Linked DNA regions of Oreochromis niloticus. The protein of the gene in region 2 interacts with the protein of the main gene of each other region in a pairwise test. Links are inferred from orthologs where the notes say so. Each region holds a gene or a part of one and is shown on either strand. Other genes may lie near its edges.

Region 1 (7,511 bases), on a different chromosome or scaffold from region 2:
TTCCTGTGAGGAGATATTGAGGAGGAGAAATTACTATCTGTCACATATATTATTGTTAGAATGGTGGATGGTTGTGGTGAAGAAAAGAGTATTAAATGAGGTCAGTGTATATATAAGTAATACCTGTTAGCCTGAAGCTCAGGCAGACTGACCTAAATGCTTAGTTTAAGACCATTTTGATCTCAGTGAAAGCGAATATCATTAGTGTGACCACTTCAGCCACACAGCTTTGCAAAAGCCCTGCCGACGTGCTGTTTTAACCTTCTGTTTGCAAATGGCATCCAATCAGGAGAAAGTTAGCCGAACGTGAATGAACTGAGAGGCTGCACAAAGATCCATTTTGATATAAATACAGATTATTTTAAGCTGTGAATCTTACAAACTTTAGCAGACTCCATCAATAAAAATATTGAATTGGTAATTGGTGCCCCCTCTGAGATATCAGCTTGAATGGAAAACTCACCCATGAAGAAGTAACCAGTGGAGAACGGGAGAAGAGTCAAAAAGGTCAGGGGGTTCTCAAAAGAGATCGAGTACTCCACTGTTAGAAAGGCCACGCCAAGAACCAAAGAGTATAAACATGTGCAGGATGTGTAGATGCAGAACATGATGAAGTAGCGCATGTTTTTGTTGCCGATGCAGTTTCCAGTGAAGAAACAGTGGTGGTCCCTCTTAAGGATAACCTTCTTGCAAAGTTTGCAAAAGTGACGGCCGTTCAGGAGGTAGTGCGCGTCCACTTTATCCGAGCAGTGTGGTGAGCACACTGGAATCACAGTCTCGTTGGCACTCTCAGCTGGGTATTTAATAGTCATTATGTAATTCCCTAACGCATTGAACATCAAGAAAAGGAAAATAACTGTATGTAAAACTTTGGACCCCTCCAGTGATGTACCCTGACTTGGGAAAATTGTTGGTATGAAGAAGCCAAAGTGCAAAATGAAGGTGACTGCTGTAGCGGTGAAAAAGTACGCAGGTGCTACAGCGTTGAGAAGTCTCAGTTTTAACATCCGGGTGAACATATCTGTGTGGGAGCAAAGAACACAGTTAGCAGAAGAAGTGCAAGTAACTGTGAAAGTAACTGCACAGAAGTTTCTGGTCAGTTTGAAATGTTCTTATTTCTGAAAGCAAAACACGTTTTGTTTTTATCTAATATAACAAGAACAATGACCCAAAATGGCATGTTAAAAATCATGCTGATTTAAGAAGCAACACGTTTGACGTGTTCAGTTTGCCGGTAGTCACAAAGCCAACCTTCCTACTCAGTTTATTCATCTGATGGTGTCCCCAGTTCCCCCAGCAAACCACAGAGAAGTATACCATGCTCATCATCAGGATAGACACAAGTGGTGCAGCCGTCCTCTGAGGCCGATCACCATTTCTCGGGTCTTACTCACATTTGAAAGCAGATGATTCTTCCAAGACCACCTCCATCACTGATACATCCAACCACTGAAGAATCATCAGAGTATTTCTGTAGGTGGTTTTTTGTATTCTATAGGTGCATATACACAGTTGTAGTTCACTCATCATGGGCATCATACTCCCTTTACAAACCTCCCCACGCTGGCTCGTATGGGTGTAATTTAATGAAGATGCTGGCTCAGGATTAGTCTGACATCTGCTTTTTAAGGTAAAGGTCCTGATGTTTGCACAGTTTTGTAGAGGGAGGAGTACTTCCTGTTTTATAAAATCTGTTCTCGCTCTCTCTCTCTATTTTTATTTCTTTTTTTATTTACTGCATGGATTAACTTTATTCCTTAAAGCAAGTACAACATAATGATTTTCCAGTCCTTTTTTTAAATTTAGAGACTATAATCAGACTGAGACAGCCAATCCAGGCACTTATTTAGCCGCACTTAATGCTTCTCCAATCAGCACACTATTTTCAGTTGTGCTGACATAATTGGAAAATGGTTTTTCTAATGACTAATCAGGCTTTTAATATAACAAACTTGCATTAGGAAACACAAGGTGCCATCAGACACACACTTGCTGAAAATAGGTCTCTGTATACAAACACAGATATTCATGATGAATCACTCTCAACACATTTTTTACCGATTTTATGTTAGATGCAAACACAAACGTGCAGCCCAAATATTCCCCAAAACAGAAGAAACTATGGTACAGTTTTAGGAAATAGACAAAACAAATTCTCAGCTTATGAGGATTGCTAAGTACCTAAAGAATTGGCAGTGCTATTTGCAATTTAAGGGGCATCAATAGTCTTAATCCAGCAGTAAAGTCATTTACTTGTAGGGCGATTATTACATTAAGATACTTGAATTAAATAGTAGCAAATTGGAGGGAATGACCCTTCCAAGGACACAGTTTGGTCTGAGGAGAGATCAGGTAGTTCTTCCTTTCCGTTGTGTTCAAGTGCTTGCTCACAGGGGATAATTGTTTAGTTCTATGTCTACTGCTGAAGGCTCTTTACCTGACAATATGAAACCCTGAAATAAATAACACTGAATTAAAACCATTTAAAAAGAGCACAGTGCAGAAATGTGAATAGAAGAGAGAATGTAAGCCTGCTGCTTAGAGTTAAAAACTAATTTCTGAGCAAAGTGGGGGTGGGGGACTCCCAGGGGCCACTGAGAATAGCAGTAATGTCTTATCCCTCCTCTGTCATCGCATAACCTGCAGCTCTGAAGGATGTGCAAATCACAAGATAGCAAACGACGAAAAGGAAAGAGGGCGGTCTCGCAGACCAAATTTAAAAGTTGGTCTTTACGTCCCTCATTAGAGGGCATCGACACTGTGGATGCTACAGAAAACAGAAAGCATTTATAATATAACTGTAAGGTAGTCTCCTTCGTGTTCTGTTTTCTTTCAGAATTACATTATATCGTTTCCAGCATGATAATGATTGCGCCAGTAATGTTATTTTCCCATAATTTCATCTCCATGGCGCGACGCATCTGCCTACCTGCAGATGTCAGAGAGCGGAGGAGCTGTCCTTTCAGCACTACGGAGCCTCGGAGCTCAGGAGCTTCTTCAAACGCACACAAGAAGGTGTCTTTGAGAGGCACTGACGTCGTTTTTACATCACCACATTAACTCCTTTGTCTACCGCCGCCTGCTGGTCCGGATGCGTCCGTGTGCCTCTTTTTCTTCACTTTTCCCTGCTAACAAAACAAAAAAGAAATTTAAACAAAGCAAAACAAGTATTATTATTTTCACATAGTTATTTCATCATATTTACTTCCACATTCATCTATTCAATAAGTATATATTTATATAATATTACATTTTATAAGATTAATTATCCTTCACTTCCTTTCCATGTGAACAGCTATTATTATTATAGCATGTGAACAGTCTGCAGTGTTTAGGGTCAATGCAGGAAAGAAAGAATTCAGTAGGTGGCAATGTATCCTCAGTTATCTGACCTCCCATGCTGTTAGCGCAGAGGTACATAAGCTAATTTTAGCAGTTACAATAAAACAAGCTTTACTCACAGGATGTAACATGCTCAGTGCATTTTCTTTCTTTTGTTAACATGACTTACTCTCACAAACACTCCATAGGAGTCATAAAGGTATCAATTTTCAACATCTAACAATATAACAGGAAATTATAACTCCATTGGTAAGTCTGCATGTTTACCCATCACCCAGTGGACCACTATCAGTCAGGTATTGGCCTCCCCCTGTTAAAAACAAATATTCTTTTTATTATTTTTCTTTATTTAAAGTACAATTAACTTGAGCACTAATACATTTTGCATCATATCTGTTACCAGGTTAAGTTTTGAGATAGATCCTCAGTATCCTTAGAGTAATGTCTCTAAAGAACTTTCACTTCATTACTTTAGTCTAGAGACCTCTCCTTTAAGGTAACATAGGATTATTGTTAATATTAAATCCTGTTTCATTGATATTGAGATTTCTTTTTCAAAAGACACCTGTCTGTAAAAACATATACAACAATATAAACAGGAGATATTATATGTGTTCATAAAGTAATAAAAGCATGTGCAATAGGGAGCACAGGTAAATAAATATAACCTTTTTAAAATTTTCCTGTGAAATATTATATTGTAGCTTTAAAATCTTTTGTACCTCATTCCTTCATAGGAAGCAAAGTATTTACAAATAATTTTTCCAATCTCATTGTGAACAAGAGGCAAAGCCAACAGTGAAATCGCCTGTGACCACACACTGTAGGTAGTGCATTAAAATATAAGAAGGGACCAAAGGTAATTGGACATCTTTTAAAGTTCAGCCACACTGTTGATCTCTTCTAAATGCGAAGGAGGATGGAAATATGAAAACGTTTCAGGGTGGAGGAGGAAACATGCGTATAAACAGTATCAGATATGGGACTTTTTTTAACAAAAAGTTGGGAATTTCCTTTGTTACAGTAAATAAAAATGAAATAAGTAGAACAACATATACCTTCAATAATGTGAAATGCAAAGCAATTATCTTAGTAGGTTAAAAATAATCAGAAATTAAACTAAACATAATACGCAACATATAATATAATATAATATAATATAATATATATTAAAACATAAAAAATAAAATATCTTCAAAAATATCATCACAAAGAAATATAAAACAATTTAAACAGTCTACTAAATGGTGTGTGGTGGGGCAACGACCATCTGACAGATGAATAGTGACTGAGGAGTTGTACCCACAAAACAATGCTGTATGTAAAAGTTGTTTTGTATCTACACTTGTGATATATTCTTAAGTTTTTGTAGATTTTTTATAAAGAATACAAAATACAGAAATAATGATAAATGTATATTTAAAAAAAACAAAGTAGCTTTAATTTAATAATGCGTGCATTTGGTATTCAAAGTTAACATTAAAAATATATATAGTTAATTTAACCACCTAAATCGACCTAGCTAACTTTAAGGTGGATGTCTGGTCAAATATATCTTTATGTTACTTCGAATAAAACGAATAAAATTTTGTTGGCATCACCATTGCTTGATGGTCCCTTAACGCCTCCAAAGCAGGTGTTTAATTGTTAGACGGCCCCTGCGAAGGTGGGAGTTTCTCTTGTTTCTTGGCGTTAAAGAAAAATCAGCAGCATCTCTATCACCGCCAGACCTCAGCGATAAGGGAGTTTTGCAAGGTGAGTGAGGTAAATATTAAAGCCGTGCGTGCCTGTAGTGATACAAAATGCAAACCGGAAGGCTTTACTGCGCTATTAGTGGCGCAATCGTTTTCATCAAGTTACGGAGCTGAGGGAAGGTGGGTGTGCAGGCTGCTGTAGTGCTGCAGTAAGCGGGGGAACCGAGAGTCGATAAAAATGTCTGATTACGGAGAGCAATACCTTTTCCTTTATTTATAAAGATCTTAAAGTTCACGGTACAGTGTGGTGGTGGTGGTGGTGGTGGTGTGGCTGGTGAGGACGAGCCTGTCTCTGGCAACGTGTCAGACTACTACACCCAAACCAGGTGCATCATTTCTCCTCTCTGTCACACCTATTGTTCCCGATTGTTCCTCGTGGACTCAGCTGCGTGGCAAACCTTGTGTGAGCATCGTTATGTGTAACTTGGGGAGCCCGTTTTTAATAAAATAAGAAGCCTCTGAGGCTTCCATTCATGCTGCCACCCTCTGTCTGTGTAGCCTGATGTTGTTCAGTCTGGACTCTGTTGGAATCGCACAGGAAAAAATGATACCGGTCAACTTCTTGTGACTTGTTGATTCGATGCTTATCCGGCTGCATATGATGTGGGTTTTAACACAAGGGTTACCCTGTAAAATAAATGTGATTCTTGAGGTACACTGAGGTTTTACGGTAAGTAAAGCTAGCCTTTTCGGTGCCTTTTCTGACTGTTTTTTCTGTTTTCGGAAATTGGGCAGAGTACTAAACTGACATCTGGTAACATTTCCACCCGACTGTGCTGAAAGGACGTGGCCTTAAAAATGCCAGATTTGCTATGGACTTTTGACATTTTAGTGGAATACAATATGTCAAACCATAATGAGAGCCTGGGAGGAAAATAAATTTAGGATGGTGATATTCAGATTTTAGCCAAGATGTATAGCGTAATCTTACAGGACTCAATATATGCACATCTCATCACGTTTGATAACACCAGATAAATGATAGTAATGATGGCAATTAGTGTTGTTTATTCGTTGATTAGAGAGGAGTCCTATCCTGTTTCCAGGCTCCCAATTATGCGTGTTCTATAAATAGAGGTATTGCGCTTTCAGAGAGATCTCAGAAATCTCAAGGAGGGTCGGAATTAGTGTCACAGGTTGGAGTAAACAAAGCCTTGTGGGTGTGAAAAGGTCGTGTTTGAAAATCAAAGACTTCAGAATCACTGCAGATGCTTTAAATGAAGGGGAGAAACTATATGTTTTTACCTCAATGTTTTAGACAAACATATAGCGGGTGTTTGTGTGATCTAATTCATACCTAGATGACAAGAACATTGACTAAATTTGCAGCTGATCAACTGCTTCAGTATAAAACATGTATATATTTCATAGTTTCTTACCAAAGTGCTGTAAATTAGTTGCAGGGTTTGATCCTGTTCCTTTAAAATTTGATCCATACAAGTGCACAGTAAGTGTCACATAGACATTAATATTTCAAAAGGCTCTAAGCTGAGATTGAACAAGGGCTTTTAGTAGTGATATGGATATGGTGCACTTGTGTAGCACTGAGCAGGTGCAAAGGGATGGACAATATTGAGAGGTATGTTAGAGCAAGTCTTAAACCACATTAAGCCTCGTGTTCATTTTCTCCAAATACTTTGTGTTTGGTTGTTTCCTTGTGTTTGTTTCAGCACCACGAGCAGGAGGACAGCTCCAGCTGAGCAAGCAGATGAGATGAGATTCTTTGCAGTTTTGAGTTTAGACAGAAGTGAAAAGCATAACATAATCTGTGAAGATTAATACCATGCATGCAATAATTTGCACAGGTTTTAAATATTGCAAATGTTAAAGGTACCAAAATCAGGTGGAGTAAATAGAAGACAAATTATCTGATAACTCTTGGTGTGCTACACCAAAACCAAACACTGTGTTTTCAAAGACCTGGTTAATGTATTTCACATCTCATGGCCCCTACAGGATTAACTGTATCCTATCACATTATTGTGATGTTATTGTAGGGTCTTTACCTTATAATGTAAAGCACCTTGAGGCAGTTTTTAATTTTATGATTTGGTGCTTTATAAATAAAGTTGAATTGAATGGGCTATCTATTATTTAAGCAGTCAATATAAAGCCATGGTTAAAAAAGAAACAAACAACAACAGCAACAAAGAAGTAGATCCTTATGTATGTCAGGTCATAATAAAAAGAGATGACTGTGTTGACTAATGTGACTGTGTTACTAATACAGTAATGAATGGGAGTTACATGCGTATTTGAGTCAGGGTTCAGAGAGAAATAGCTCACATTGCTGAGAGATTTCACACATTTCTGTGTAGCACAGAACACGGGTCATCCAGTGGACCGTCCCTCTTTCCGTTCTGGTAGTAATGCTGATGATGGTGGTAGTCATGCAGGTTCTCACAGTGAGAAATG
Region 2 (7,889 bases):
GAACAGGGCAGGACTCGTGGGTCAGAGAACAGACAGTAGCACACGGAGCACGTCAGGTCCTCCTCTAGGTTGTCCATGACAGAGACTTGCGCTCAGGTGGGGAGGTGAGGGTTTGGGGAGAGGAAAATCTGGCAGGACAAAAATCCAGTTGTTGCACATGTTTAGAGAAATAAATGAAGTGTTAGTGAATATGGGGCTTAATTTAGACTTAAGCTGAAAGCTATTGTGAGGATCGAGTTATTAACCTACAAGGCCCGGTGTGAAAAACCTAATAACTGGTTGGGCCTCCTTTACCAGCGAGAACTGCAAACAAACGTTTGTGATAATATCAGGTGTGGAGGAATTTCTGCCCGCTTATCTTTGCAGAATTGTTGTAATTCAGCAACATTGGAGGGTTTTCGAGAATGAACCGTTTGAAAATCGCATTCAGGTCAGGACTTTGACTGGGACACTTCAAAGTCCTTATTTTGACTTTCTTTAGCCATTCAGAGGTGAAATTGCTGGTGTGTTTTGGATCATTGTCCTGCTGCAGAACCCAAGTGCACTTCAGCTTGAGGTCACAAACAGATGTTGTTAATGTTGTTCTGGGGATTTTTGTGCTCTGGGTTCTCTTGTGAACTCTTGGATGAGTCGTTGATGTGGTCTTGGAGTAATTTTGGTAGGCTAGTCACTCCTGGGAAGCTTCACTGCTGTTCCAGGTTTGTGGATAATGGCTCTCGTTGTGGATTGCTGGAGTCCCAAAGTCCTAGAAATGGCTTTGTAACCTTTGACTCTAGACTGATATATGTCAATGACTTTGTATTCCAGGTGTTTCTTTAGATCTTGGCATGTGTTGCTTTTTGAGATCTTTTAGTCTGCTTCACTTTGTCACACAGGTTCTATTTAAGGGATTTCTTGATTCAACAAGTCTGCCAGTAATCAAGTCTCAGTGTGTTTAGTGAAACTAAATATAGCTTTCCAAACTATGTGGTTAATCACAGTAATCCATGATTTAACAAGAGAGGCAATTAGGTTTTCACACAGGACCAGGCAGGTTTGGATAACTTTTCCTCCCTTAATCAATGAAATCATTATTTTAAAACTGCATTTTGTGTTTAACTTTATTATATTTGTCTAATATTAAAATGTGTTTGATGATCTTAAACATGCAAGTGTGACAAATATGCTCATCTCTAATCCTGTGCCTCCTAATGAAAATCTGAGGATATTCAGCTCTGCCACCTCCAACTGCTGTCTTTTTAATCACTGCCACTGTCTCCAAACCATCACAGCAGGTCTTACTACAATCTCATAAATCTTTCCTTTCATTCTCGTTGCTATGATATCACAAAATCACCCACACACTCATCTCCACCTCTTTTGTACACTGTCCGTTACTTTAGATGGTTGACTACATGTATGCAAACTCATCCACCTTCACGGTTACACCTGTCTGGCTCTCATTCATACGCATGTTCTGTCTTGCATTCTTCTTTCCAGAGAACACCTCCGCCGAGGATGTCTTACCTGCTCCATGCTCCCACTATAGATCACAATGTTGTCTGCAAAAGTCAGTCCACAAAGATCTGTCAGCCTGACCATCACCACTGTAAACAAGAAGGGGCTCAGAGCGGATCCTGGACACAATCCCGCCTCCACTTTAAAGCCATCTGCAACTCCTACCACACACCTCACATACTTCTATGCCACTCCTGATGCTCTCATACAGTCCCATAGATCTTCTCTTAGCACCCACAAGAATACCTATGAAAACACTCGAGTTAGGGACAGTTCCTCTATTGGTGGGTCTAAAGGCAACCAACCAAAACCTTTACCTGAGGATCTCAGAGAATGTATTTTCACATCACTGAGAAGGGATACTTGCAGTGTCACTATAGAGTGTTACAGGTTAGTAAAACAGTCCTAACTACAGTCTTAGTGCTAAATAATTTATTTACATTAAAAGAAAAGAAAAGTTGAACATTGTGTGTTAGATTGCCTCAGATTACCTGATAAAACTGGCTCTGGGTGTGTAATTACTACTTATCATATAAACACGTTTAAATCTAACCAATGTGAGAAAGAGCTGATCATTCACTGAAAAACAAGAGAACAGCCAAAACAGGCTCAGCTCTTATTACCGGATCGGTTATATTATAGTGTTTGTGCGCTCTCTCCTCTTGTTACAGCCAGGACCGCAGCGACAATAGGAGGCCCTCTGCCAGCACCCACCCAGTCCAACACACACACACACACACACACACAGTTGTGTGAGGACACGCTGTTCATCTGTCCCTCACAAAACCTGATCCATAAACGGAGTCTGAGGCCAATTTGGCGCCCAGATTCAAACAGGTGACCGATGTCCAGCTGCCCGCGGAGAATCGACATCAAGCCAAATGTGGTCTCCTCCACGTATGGAAGTGTACATCCAAAAGCGTTACTATAAAACCCATCTACACCGAGGTGTAAAGTAGCGGCAGGGACTCCTACAGTTCAGTTTTCACTCATGTGTCATATATTACATTCTTAATGTGTGTGGAAAAAGTAGTAACACGTTAAAAACAGTGTACATTATTAAAATATGCTCTTTAATGTTTTTAACTGTGCTAGCCACACAGCTGTTGCGGTCAGTACTTTAATAGCAACTAATTTTCATCATATGCCGATTCTAGATTTGGCGTAAAAAAAGAAAAACAAACACCAACTTTAACAACTTGAGCACCACTTTTCGTGTAGAAATCTGTTTAAAAGAAACGAAACAAAAACAAGCCCAAACTCACCGTCAGCTGGGGGAAAGCGTCTGTCCAACAACAGAGCTTTCACTTCCTGTCAGCTCATACGCGTGCTGTGTTCACGTGCACTCCGCAAATCCTGTTAGCGATGAAAGAAAGAAAACGGGAAAAGGTGCTAGACTTCTAGAGCGCATGCTCGTATGGTAAAGAGTGCGAGTTAAAAAAATAATAATAATAATTATAAGCGGTAGCTATTTCTTTTCGCAATTATGCATTTTTTGAAACCCCCTTTCATGGTCATCCATTTTTCCGATAGCACCCAGAGGCGCCGCTATTTCCGTATCACGCACGAGCAGAAGCTGCCTCTCTGGCCAATCAGGACTCGATTTTCCGCCAATTTGAAAAATTGTAACCGTTAGGAGAAGCGAAGACATTATCAGGGACACACAACAGATCACACACACAAACAGTCTCTCGATTTGGGTTTCACTATTTATTTTCTCGAAGACAACCTATCCTGTATCCTATCTCCCCGAAAAATGACTTTGCTTGGGGGGGGGGGGGGGGAACCACCTCATTCATTTATTTATTTTTTCTTTCCAGGTCGTAATTTTAAATTTGAAACCACGTTTGCTAACAAGGAATGCTGCAAAAGAATACCCCTATGTTCAAACAGAAAGCTTATTTATGAGCACAATGTGTAATCATTACTACAGTGTTTGAAGTTAACACAAAAAAATGAAAGGGGTAAGCTTGTACATCTAGCTGGCAGAAAGACAAAAGGGGAGTAATGGGGCTAAAGGACTCAGGTACTAAAGTTACAGCAAACTTGTTCATGGGTTTATATATTATTCAGGAAACCCCACATACTCCAGTCTGATGTGTGGGACACCCTCTGACCTTGAGAAAAAAAAAGCGGGGGAGGTTAAACCACCTCCTGAAATAAACTCATTTTCTCACTAAAAAGCATCCTTGGATTACTCTCGAAAGACAACAGATTGTGGTTGAGTGAGTGATGCATATTGAGATTTTGCTGGCAGGTCAAAACCTATAAAAACCCACCAGCACACCTTCAGAAAGACGTCAGGCCTCACTTTGCAGTACATGTGCAAAAACCATATAGATTATTTAGCAAATCAGACACTAGTGAGGGAAAAGGGGAAGGGGAGACATGTAACATTTAAGCACAGTTTTACTTAAAATGAAAATTACACTGTATCCACAGCCTAAGGAAACTAAAATACCCTAAAAAATAACTGTGCTATAGTTTAGTACATGCAAAGGTTATGATTCACAATCCTACGTGAAATGGCCATTGTTCTCTTCTCCCTTGGTGACAATCAAAGCTATGGCAACAGTACTGCAAAGCAGTGATTTTGCTGTAAATTGAAGGGAAAAAGGGGGGTGGGAGAAAAAATAAAGGAGTTACAAGGAGGAACAGGTCATTTGGTTGATTATAAAGTGAAGGTGTCAACAATTTCACAGCATCAAGCCCATATGTGGTGTGCAGGTTAGGGATGTGGTGTGAGGATGGAGTACGATGGTCATCAATCACCTTTACAGAAGCGATATGAAACTAAAAGCTGGAAAACAAAGTCATAAAAAAAGGAAAAAAGAAAGAAAAAAAAAAATACACTGGAGGCAAAAAGAAAAAGCCCAAAAGCCACCAAATGCATCTTAATACAATGCACTGCTGCTCCACACCTGCCAATAACATTGTCCAGTGTCAATTAATACTAACTTAATAAATCAAAAACAAAATCCTGGTGATGACGATGATTTTCTCATATCCACAGTTCCTTCTTTCAGGGATTTCGCAGATCAGCCTCTCAAAGGCAGAATTTCTTCCTGAAACCTTTGCGAACCTCATTGTTGCAATTTTTTCTCTTCAGATGTTTTTGTATCTTTTTTTGTTGTTGTTGGTTGTTTTTTCATTTTTCCTCATCTCTGCATGCGTTCTCACCCAGTCTCGCACACTCCCAGTTCACGCACGCAGCCAAGCACACACGACTCATCCGTCCACTCTCTCGCAACATGCGAACACGCGCAGCCGGACTCCTGGCCCCGCCCACCAGGGGGAGAGGACTGCGCCCCGCGTGGGGGGGCGTCTCGTTGGAGGAGATGAACCTGGCTCCTCAGCGCTGAGTCCAGACATTCGTACACAATGGGTCCATTCACACACATGTCTGATAGCGTGGCCGATTGGGGGAGGGGCACATTGAGGCTGGCGCCCTCTCTAGTCGGAGGACCGCAGAATTGTGATGGTTCGTTGTTCATCTCAGTTCATAATCATAGTTATAATCATTTCTGCATTTTGCTGTATTGTAATATTTCAAGATCACTTGATTTTCTTATTATTTTTTAATGTCCTTGGTTCTCCCTGGGCAGACAGAGTTTCTTATTTTCGTTTTTCTTGTCATTTGAAGTAGTTTTCCGAGGACGACAGCTCCAATAACACAGAAGTTATGTCGGCATGTCTCTCAACGCATTCGATGTAGATGTTTTGCTTTTTTTTGCAACATGTAGCCACTCATTCTCACTCGCACCCACTCGCCATCTCAAACTTCATTTGGGCTGGTTCCCCTGGAATGCCAAATGAAATCCACATATTTTTCTCTCAGATAAGATGCAGCCATGGATCCCACGAGCCAAGCACAATGGATCAAATTTCTCACACTCGCTCTCTCTCGCCCTTTCTCTCCTAATTTTTTATATGTTGAACAGAGTGCTGCATCGTGAACAAAACTCCAGAATACCCCAGATGCCGTCTAGAACTGGAATCCCTCGGCTGGCACGTTGGCTGAGTTGAAGCCGTAAGTTCCGCCCTGGATGGCCTCTGGGACCAGGCTGGTGTCTTCATCGATCTGAAAGACAGACGAGTAAAAGGAGCATTAACACTGTGCGGAAGACAAGGCGTTAGGTCAAGACGACAGCCAGCCACTGTTCCTGAGCCAGGGACCATCAGCAGCTTTCTAAAGAAAGTGGGTCTACGTAGCTCTACTTATTGAAGTTAACTTTGTGAATTCTGGTATGTGATTCTGGGTTTCTGGAGGTGGGCTGTCTTGCCAACTTGCTCCTCAGGGATAATAAAGTTTATCTACATCCTAAATAGAAGAACTGTCAATACAAACAATCACTTTGGCACATCCCCTTGGATTAACCACCTTGCTTTGTGGTACGACAGCACCATGGTAACGACCTAAAGCTGACAGTGATTCGGACCTCTGGCTCGGATCAAATTAGCAGTTTGGACAGCCACTCTGGGCAGGATCCATTTTCAGACTTACACTATTGCCGTTTCTCAATATGCGTACTTGTGCGTACTTGCGTTCTCGTGTACTCGTGATACGTCATCAGTCGGAGACCAAGTACTGTTCCAATTCAAAGTACGCATCAAACCGAGAACGCGAAAAAGTCCCGGATGTGTTCTCGCTCCGCCCGTTTTATCGAGCATGCATCGGTGGTGACTTGTGTGGACTTGGTACAGCTAAATATCCCAGAATGCATTTCGTCCGAAACTCAGACAAAGGCCGTTTCTCAATTCTCAAGTACGTGAGTACGTACTCACGTACTTGAGAATTGAGAAACGGCAAATGATTTGTGGTGCAAAAAACTGAAAATGGCCAAACTGGAGCCTCCTATGTGGCAACTCAGAGCTAACCTGTTCATCTTCCAAACTTTGGTTCATTTGATCAATGTGAAGACTTTTTTTAAAATCACTTGAAAGCCTAAATAATAATAATTAAAAAAGCAGATATCCTAAGTAACTTACATCATCAGATGAGAAGAACTGATCAATAATTTCGTATGCCAATTTGTAGATATCTTCATTTTCATGATTCTGCAGTTGCTCCACCTTTTCCAGACCTGCGAAACAAAAAATAATTACACATTAACACCTGGTGTCACAAGTTAAGACCAGCAATTGTGATAAATGTGATGGTAAAGGTGACACTGACCTCCGCATTCCTCAATGAGGTTAGCAATAGTTTCTGCCTCGTCATCAGCCATTTTTAGGATATTGCTGAGGCCATCGAGAACAACCTGCACAACCTGAGCGTCCTTCACTGTGAGCAGGTTGCAGAATGGAGGAATCACCTGCTTCTCAATCAGGTGTGCCACCTGGAGACGACACAGAGATGCACTATCAACCACTCACCGCGTTAAAAAAGGAAGAGCATTGTACTCATCAATAAAAATGAGTAAGCTTAAACTTATTCTTAAAGCAGCAAATATTATGACGTCATTTCAGTTCTATGTTTACAGATGTTCAACACCAACGACTTCACATTTCTTGTACATTTTTCACGTGTTTGGGAGAGGCTTACCTGATCTTTCCTCCCGCTTATTGTCAGGTTACTGATGGCCCAGGCTGCTTCTTTCTGCGTGCCAAAGTCACCCTAAAACATACATTCAATGTAAGCAACCCATCCATCACCCAGAAGCTCTCTGAAATTAAACAGGATCGACTTAAGATGGATACAAACCTTATCGAGCAGGTGAATGATCATGGGAACCAGCTTGGCGTCAATGACGGCCTGCACCTGTTGCTGGTTACCTGCTGTGATGTTGGACAGGAACCACACTGCCTCCTACAGGACAAAAGCATAAACACAAGAGTTAGTGATGATTTTCTCTCATGAGTATGATGTGCTGTGTCACAGATTCAGTCTATGTTTGATCACAAAGCAAGTGGGAGCTGGATCAGAACCCAGGGGTCGAAACAGAGTTTTGACCCCCGGCTGAGACAGAGTGCAGTGGGTGGGGAGAGGGTGACTTTGAGGCTATAATCATCGACCAGTCACAAAAAGGAGGCCTCTTTTTTTAGGTGACTGGTCTCAGATGCACTCCGATATCAGCAGAGACGCTTGGTCTTCAGCACCCTTTCTCCACCAACCCATGTATCACACACACGTACACACTACTACCCCTTATCCCCACCCCCAAACCCCTAATCTATGCTACTAATTGAAGGTATAAAGTTGCTGGCGTCCTCTTCGGTTCTTCGTCTTTGTGATTCTGCACCTTTTAAATTCCTGCTCTCAGCTATCTGCCCCATCTATTTCCTTTCACGCAGCACTCACTTGCACAACGTCTCTGTTTTCATCACTTCCAGATGACTGACAAAGCAGCTTGAGCTCATCAGTTTGTGTGTTTCTTACAAACAGTCGGAGA
Region 3 (7,683 bases), on a different chromosome or scaffold from region 2:
GCTCAAGTGTTCCAAGAACATTTAAAAGAGACCCTAACCATCAGAATCATGAGACTCACACAAAATATATTTAATTTGCATTAAAAAAACGAAGGAACTACTGTGGTGTAAGACGTCTTGTAGGGTGCACTTACCGCCTCGACATTGCACGAAGAATTTTTCTACTACGACTCAGATTCTCTCCAGTATTCGCAAGCTACAAAAACAACAAGACAGAAGAGTTTCAACAAACCTACTAATCTCAGATCATATCGTCATCCTACAGTACTGTGCCAAAGTCTTGAGCAACTATTCATTTCTTTATAGTTTGGTAGGAAAATAGGAAATATATGCAACGATTTATTGAAATGTGCAAACATGCATGAAAATACAGCACATAAGGTAAAAACAGAGTTTTTATTTAAAATGCTAATGAGCTTGAAAGTTAATATTTAAAGTTTTAGTTAGGTTAAAATTTTTAAGGACTGCACAGGATAGAGAGATATGTCAGGCTGACAGCTAGTAGCTTTTTGGAAATCACATTTTTAGTCCAAAAAATAGTATTTTATGCCTGTTGAACTGTGTTATATTTGGCATTTTTCATATATTTGACTAAAAAATTTGAAACTAATAATGTGTTTTTGTGATAAGTTGTCTGTCACGTGTAGACACATCAATACTGGTTCATCATTTGATTTAGGTGCCTTTTTAAGCTTAAACGATTCATAGGTCAGTGACATATAGACATCACAGGTGGCTAAAGACTTTTGCACAGCACAGTACAAGAATACAAGCGTAATAATGATTCTCAGCTCACTCTGTTTCTGGTTCGATCCAGCTGTTCCCTCTGTTCTCCCAACTCCTCGATGATATCTGTGCCAATTTGCTCTGTCTCAGCAGCGATGCGCTGGCTGCGTTCAATACTCTGGCTGGCGTTATTTAGAGCATCCGTACCCTGAAGAAGCAACGCTCTCTGGGACTGCAGGTGCGTCTACAAAGATGGGGAAAAGCGACAAATGAAACCAAGTTTAAGCAGATTTATTCTGGAAATACACTTACATAGACATTTTGCTGTCATGACAACTTCTACAATTCCAATGCATGGCTTTAATAAGATCCACAAGGATCACTAGGAACCAGGGTTGACATTTTTCTCTTACATTTTATTTAATTTAAACAGTTCTTGCTTTTAATTTGTCATTATTTTCTAACTGCAGTATGAATGTTGTTATCCTCTGTCAAATAATACAGTCTGGATCTGTAAGTGCTGCTCAAAAATAAGCCCTTATAAGTTGAGAGGATTTTGTGTCAAACTGATGAAGATGTTTTCTTGATTTGTGCGTCTCCTATTTGTATTTTTTTCTTATGTTACAGCACACTGATATTCCTCAGCAAAAAGAGGAAGAAAAAAAATACACACCCAGAAAAAGTCTTACCCTACACATGCAGCCTGACATAACAGCAACATCATAAAATAATGTTTTGTGCATCCAAACAGACTAGGGACAGGGCCTGTCACACATCTGCAACAGCAAACCCAAGCATCCCAAAGCCCCTCACTCACACTGTGCTGATTTTGTGAAGAGTAGATGCCATGATTTCCTTGCACTGTGTTGTACGAGGAGCCAAAGCCAGGTGCTGAGTTTTTCATGTCCCTCTGAAGCTTGCCGAGGTCTCGCCGGTACATACGCAGTTTTGTGCTCATTGAATTTCGATAGGACAGAGGGGCAACGCGCAGCTCCTCTTCCATTCCTTGTAACTGGAGAAAGACAAGAAAATGTTATTGTTTGAGAAAAAGACAAAAAAGGATCTTACTCCATAGAAACAAGGATATATTATTAATGTATTCACTAGTTTAGGCTTAACCTCCGTAAATCAGAACATTTCAGTGCCGTTTGAATTAATGTACAGTTAAAAATCTATTAAAATAGGGCATACTTACCATACTACAGAGAGCTGTTAACTAAATTTATTGAGAGCTTCTTTTATTTTGGTTTTATTCTTATAAACTTGATGGCTAACATATTAGAAACATCCCTCAGATTTTGATAATATAGGTAATAAGGTCGCTTTGGTGAGAGTGACACATTCAATCTAGTCAAAAAAGCTTGGAGAAAACCCCCCCAAAAATGTATAAGCAAATATCCAACCCTGGTGCTAGCACAAGACTCAATCATGTCACTGCATCTTTGTCATGTCACTCACTGTCTCGTTCTTTTCCAGGTTAAACAGGTGTTGGTAACAGGTTTGCACATATGTTGTAGGACACAATTTGGAGTGCATAATTCTTAAATAACTATTTAAAATATGTTGATGTTAAACAATGGAATAACAGTTATAAAAGATTTGTGTCAACAAAATGAAAAAAAAAAAAAGTTGTTTTTTTTTCTCTTTAAACTTCACTGTTTTACTTGAAATGCATTGTGGTTACCAAAAAGACTGGGCAAGAGAAAAATGCCTTTTTTGGGGTAAAATGTACACTAGGTTTCCATTTTGTATTGAACAAGTGTTATTTGCACAACAAATGCATGTATTATTTTGATAATTCACTATTTCTCTGGTGGTAAATTTCTTAAAAAGTTAATTTCAACCTCAATTTAAGAAAAAAAGTGTATTTACATGCAAAAGACATAGCTAGTAGTCAAGTGAACTTTAGCTAGCTGTAATGGGAAAAAGATAAACAGCTCACCACTTCTTCAGCCTCCCCATGTCTCTCATCAAAGGTCCTCACCAGCCTCTTCCTCTCCTCTGCAGGAGTGACAGTACAAGTGTTACTTAAAAGCACATAACTTATATTCCAAGGCGTAGTTATTTTGCTAATCTCGGCTTTATGAGCAAGTATTTACCTCCGTGAGATTTCTGAGCCTTGTCTGGCATCAGCTTCAGCTCCTCGTACAACGATCGGTACATTTCGTGCAACTTCTCGAATTCCTCCGACGACATTTTGCGTGTCGTTTAAATTCCTTTCTTGTGATATTATTTTTGTCTTTTATTGTAAAATACAACACTGTTTATGATCACAAGTTTAAGTATGTAGTTTTGCTAGGACTATAATCAGATCCTCGGGATTCTTCCGGATGGTTTTCGACCGACCGTCGTAACTCCGGAACAAAAATCAAACGTACTAAAATGTAATTATTTTTACTAGATATGAAATTGAAAAAATATTTTACAAACACAATTGTGTAGGAATTTAAAACAAAATAGTGAAATGTTGTGGAAAGCGTGTTTTAAAATCACCTGGATAATTATTTAACAATTATTTCATTCAGGCGCTACAGAGACAACGTTAATGGGGCTTTCTGGGAAATGTAGTTTTTAAACCGGGCTACTTGGGAAATGTTTGTTTATTCGGTTATTGAAACTACATGGATTCAGAGTTCCCCTCGTTGAAGATGGAGGAATATCCACATAGTAAGTGTCTATAACGAATTTTAAAGTACAGATCTATTTTGAATGTATAAATAGCCTGTCTAAATGGGTGATTAATCATGTATTAATGTTTCAGAGAGCAGGGGGAGAGTATTATTTCATGTTTTTTGTTTTGTTTTGTGTTGTTTTTACCTAAGACATCAAAACATCACTGTCAAAATAATTACAATGTATCTTATTGAAAGTTAAAATGGCACATTAAGGACCTGTTGGGACTTATTATATATATTCTTGTATAACAAATACAACTGTTTAACACTGCCCTCACTACTATGTCATAAAAACATCCTCATAAAGGTTTACAAGATGGTAGAGACACCTGCTATGGTGTATGGTTTGGACACAGTCCTGCGAGGTCTGTGAGGCAGGAGGAAACAAGAAAGACCAAAGAACAGGTTCATGCAGAGGGCAGGTGTGACAGAAGAGGAACAGGGGATAGGGTGAGATGGTGGCAGATGATCCACTCTGGTGACCCTTAAAGGGAGGAGCAGACCGAAAAATAAGATTTCCTTTATATTTATCAATATTAATTGAATATTAACAAACACTTAGAGCATAAAACTTGCTTGTTTTATTCTGTAAGTGTTAGGCACACACTAACAAGTCTGTGTTAGGCACGGTGGTAGAAGACTTTGCATGAGTGGGACAAGTGTTTCCCACATTTGCTGAAATGGCAACCTAGGTGCCTTTACAGTCTTATAACCCCACCAACCCCTGTGTTGATTTGCGTTTTAATCTCAGTTAGGTAAGAATAACACTAAACACTTCTAGTGCTATCTCACATAGCCAGTTTAGAATCACTAGTTAACCTGACATCCAGGTCTTTAGGAGGAGGCCAGGATACCTTTAAAACACAAAGTTTAAAGTTCCTGGGTGTGCACATAGACACAGACTCCCAATGGAGCTCAAACACTTCGGCGGTTGTAAAGAAGGCCCAACAGTGTCTCCATTTTCTAAGAATCCTCAGAAAATTGGACCTGAAGAGGGAACTGCTGATTGTCTTCTACTGTTGCTCCATTGAAAGTGTGCTGACATACTGTATCTCTGTATGGTTCTCCAACTGCACCATGGCACACAAAAAGGCACTTCAGAGGGTCATTAATGTCTCCCAAAAAATCACTGGACATCCTCTTCAGGCTGCTGAAGTCATGGACAAAACGGACTCAAGAACAGCTTTTACAACAGGGCAATAGCCCTAAGCAATGCTACCAGCTGACCAAATTTGCTACCTCGCTGGACTTTTTTTTTTTTTTTCCTGGGGGGGGGCAGCAATAACAACAACAACAACAATAATAATAACAATGATAATGTGCAATAAACATTCACTCATTCTTTTATTTATTTATTAAGTTATTCATTTTTTTTGCTCATACCTTTCTTCCACTTTTAAAAAACTCCACTTTAAGTTACTGTGTTGTGTTATTACAATGCATCATTGTTTTGCATTTTATTTGAAGGTCCCCTTTAAAGTCCAGCACCACAAAGAGGTAATTACACAAAGATGCCATCTACAGTTGCATAAAACCGCAATTTTCCTTGAGCTGACCCAGAGTGGTGAATCTAAAATCGATTTGAATAGATGTGGGTAAAATTTGACCCAGAGCAGCCTCAATTTTTCTGTATTTTAGCAAATTTCATTAAGCTTCCAGCTTAAAAAATGACCTATAGGGGATTTTTACTGCTGTTAAATGGCTAAAATATAATTCAACTGACTTTCTGTGTGTGCTTAAGACGGGGCAGATGAATTACATTTACCAAAAAATTTGAAACATTTGAAACAAGTGACTCTGTCTTTGTCTTTTTGTTGTTAATAATTTCTTAACTAAATTTGGTTAATTTCTTTTTTATGACATTTCACTTTAAAACCACTGCGCCCAGCTGCAAACTCGGTGTACCCTGTTACGTAACGTCTCCAGTAGCCGTCTTGTCACGCATCGAACTACAATCCCATGATCCTGTGCATGGTTCAACCTTCACCCCATCCGTTTGCAGCTCGCACCCCCATTCCTGCTTTGACATCAGCTGTTCCGCCTACACTTCGGTAGCATCCTGCTGGAAGAGGCAGAGGAGCGCAGATCCATAGCATGATGTTCCTTTTATTAATTATCGCGGGCCTCGGAGTGGTGACGCTGCTGGTGATTTTATTTGCACCACAAATAAGGTAAGCGCCCACTTCACGCGCTCAGTCATTAGAATTTAAACGCAGAGTTTAACACTGGATGTCAGGGCAGGTTATTACTTGGTTAACAAGACATTTAGGTGGTGTGTTGTAGTTATTACGATGAGGATCAGTTTGATTAATGAAGCCACATGATCGTTATTTGTGAATGCTTTACGTTAATGGTGATTTCACATGAGGCTGCTGATCAATGAAATAGAAAAATTGAGCTGTGGGAGGGTGTTTTTTTTTCTTGCACAGATGAACCGGGTGTCTTCCGTCTGAGCTGCTCGGGCCTATCAGCAGCCGGAGCGTGGGAGGAGTTATATATGCATGCAACACTCCAAGAGAGCTATTGGTTATGTGGCGGCACTGCTCACTGGCGTGTGTTTCGCACCACTTGCACACTTCACTATCCAAGTTTTTGTGTGAATAATTAACCCGGTTTCACCACAATGCCAGCTTTAACGGGGGCATAGCATGTAGAGACTGCAGAAGGAGCTCCTAGTCATTTAAATGGAGCTGTCTGCTGCATTTGATGATGCAGAATTTGTGTAGTATAAATCAGTCTTGTTTGTGTGCAGAAAATATGCAGCAGGAGGAGTGTGCAAGTCCACAACTCGTCTTGATGGGAAGACGGTCCTCATCACTGGAGCCAACACAGGAATTGGGAAGGAGACTGCCCTGGATCTGGCAATGCGAGGTGCCTCTTTAAATCCATAACCTGCTACTGAGAGAAATCAGCAGTCTCTTAAAGCAATAAGACTGAAATCAGCGTCCTTGTCCCATTTAAAATATACATAATAAAATGGACCATGGTGTGACACAATTAGCTGTTGTGGTCTCAAGGAAATCCTCGCTTTAAATGTAGTCACATAAATACTTGACTTGTTGTATGATTATAATATGGTCAATATGCCATCAGTCTGGGTTTGGAAAAGGTATAAAGTTTTATTTTGGTTTCGTTAAGAAAAAAACAATTCAATCCTATGAGTGGGTCATGACCTCCAACCGTAGCTTCAACCCTAACTTCATGTATTAGGTGCGAGTGAAAGGGATTGATGCATGTCGATTAGAATGATTCGTTTTTTTCTCACCTCATTCCAAATACTCAGGGGAATAAGCTTTACAAAATGTTAAAGAAATACATAAAAAACATTTACATATTCTGAAAGCACAGGATTAGGACTAGGTTTGTCGCTGATGATGACTCACAGTGCCATTAAAATCTTAATAATTTGAGATAGAAGGCAACTGCATTTCTTTAAAGTTTGTGAAGAGGCTTCTTTAGTTCTGAACTGAACAATCATTTTTTTTCACACTGGGTCAGGTCAGTTTAAATTGCTTTTTTCCCCCCTTAATAAATTATATAATAATTTAAAAGCTTTTTTGATGATATTTAAGCGTGACAAATATGCAAAAAAATCTACGGAATCAGGAAGGGGAAAATACTTTTTCCATGGCACTTTATGTTAGAGTGGATTGTTAAATGTTGTCATTTTTATGCTTACCATCTCTACATTGTTTTAACTCTGTGATGAAAGGATTCTTCTGTCCTTCCCCCAGATTCTCGAGGTTCTGAGTGGGGGGCTGTAGTCTTTTATTACAGGCAACATCCTTGTGAAGGTCTTTTTGATGTTTGGTAAAACTTCTTGCCCTTTGTATGGTTTCACTTTGTTATCTATGGTAAACAATACATTGGGTGTGGGGGAGACTACCCTCTTTATGACCAAGGATGTTGCTCCTGCTTTTATGACCCTCTTTGGTCAGGAGGAGGACACACACACACACACACACACACACACGCACACACATTCTTATTTACATACAGAAGTTCACACATATACATACAATGCCTTGTCTTAGAACCATGTGGGCGTTGCTTTGCTGGGATGTGTTTTGTGTGAACTGTTTCTCAATAAAAGGCAGCGAGAGGAGGCCATCGTCGGGGTCATTTTTGTGGTGGACACAGACGAGGCCTCCCTCGTCTGTGTAATCGATCGATCGTTGACTGTCTTGTTTTCTTCATGATGAATAAGTCTCTAGAACTAGCAGGGCTTGTGGAAGCACAGACCCAACACTTTATACCTTACAGCATTAAGTTACTCTTTAAT

The links. The genes of interacting proteins can lie anywhere in the genome.
Region 1: the proteins of trim59 (region 2) and zdhhc22 interact in binary tests that used the Homo sapiens proteins (3 or more experiments, as listed by UniProt). The link is inferred for Oreochromis niloticus from reciprocal best matches to the Homo sapiens genes TRIM59 and ZDHHC22.
Region 3: the proteins of trim59 (region 2) and vti1b interact in binary tests that used the Homo sapiens proteins (3 or more experiments, as listed by UniProt). The two-hybrid records come from large-scale screens. The link is inferred for Oreochromis niloticus from reciprocal best matches to the Homo sapiens genes TRIM59 and VTI1B.

The regions. Positions count from the first base shown.
Region 1 is NC_031983.2:10,874,110-10,881,620, reverse strand, and holds the start of zdhhc22 (palmitoyltransferase ZDHHC22), read right to left. Parts: upstream 3,080-7,511; 5' UTR 2,930-3,079; intron 1,022-2,929; 5' UTR 1,020-1,021; coding exon 464-1,019; intron 4-463; coding exon 1-3. UniProt on the Homo sapiens protein: Palmitoyltransferase that could catalyze the addition of palmitate onto various protein substrates and be involved in a variety of cellular processes. Catalyzes the palmitoylation of KCNMA1, regulating localization of KCNMA1 to the plasma membrane.
Region 2 is NC_031979.2:23,923,508-23,931,396, reverse strand, and holds the start of trim59 (tripartite motif-containing protein 59), read right to left. Parts: upstream 3,103-7,889; 5' UTR 2,763-3,102; intron 1,744-2,762; exon of another isoform or gene 1,507-1,743; intron 129-1,506; 5' UTR 78-128; coding exon 1-77. Other genes in the region: kpna4 (importin subunit alpha-3), read right to left, coding at 5,483-5,578, 6,487-6,581, 6,674-6,836, 7,043-7,114, 7,202-7,306. UniProt on the Homo sapiens protein: E3 ubiquitin ligase involved in different processes such as development and immune response. Serves as a negative regulator for innate immune signaling pathways by suppressing RLR-induced activation of IRF3/7 and NF-kappa-B via interaction with adapter ECSIT.
Region 3 is NC_031983.2:21,977,666-21,985,348, forward strand, and holds the start of vti1b (vesicle transport through interaction with t-SNAREs homolog 1B), read right to left. Parts: upstream 3,080-7,683; 5' UTR 2,923-3,079; coding exon 2,826-2,922; intron 2,728-2,825; coding exon 2,669-2,727; intron 1,739-2,668; coding exon 1,544-1,738; intron 971-1,543; coding exon 797-970; intron 197-796; coding exon 135-196; intron 1-134. Other genes in the region: rdh12 (retinol dehydrogenase 12), read left to right, coding at 5,496-5,572, 6,154-6,272. UniProt on the Homo sapiens protein: V-SNARE that mediates vesicle transport pathways through interactions with t-SNAREs on the target membrane. These interactions are proposed to mediate aspects of the specificity of vesicle trafficking and to promote fusion of the lipid bilayers.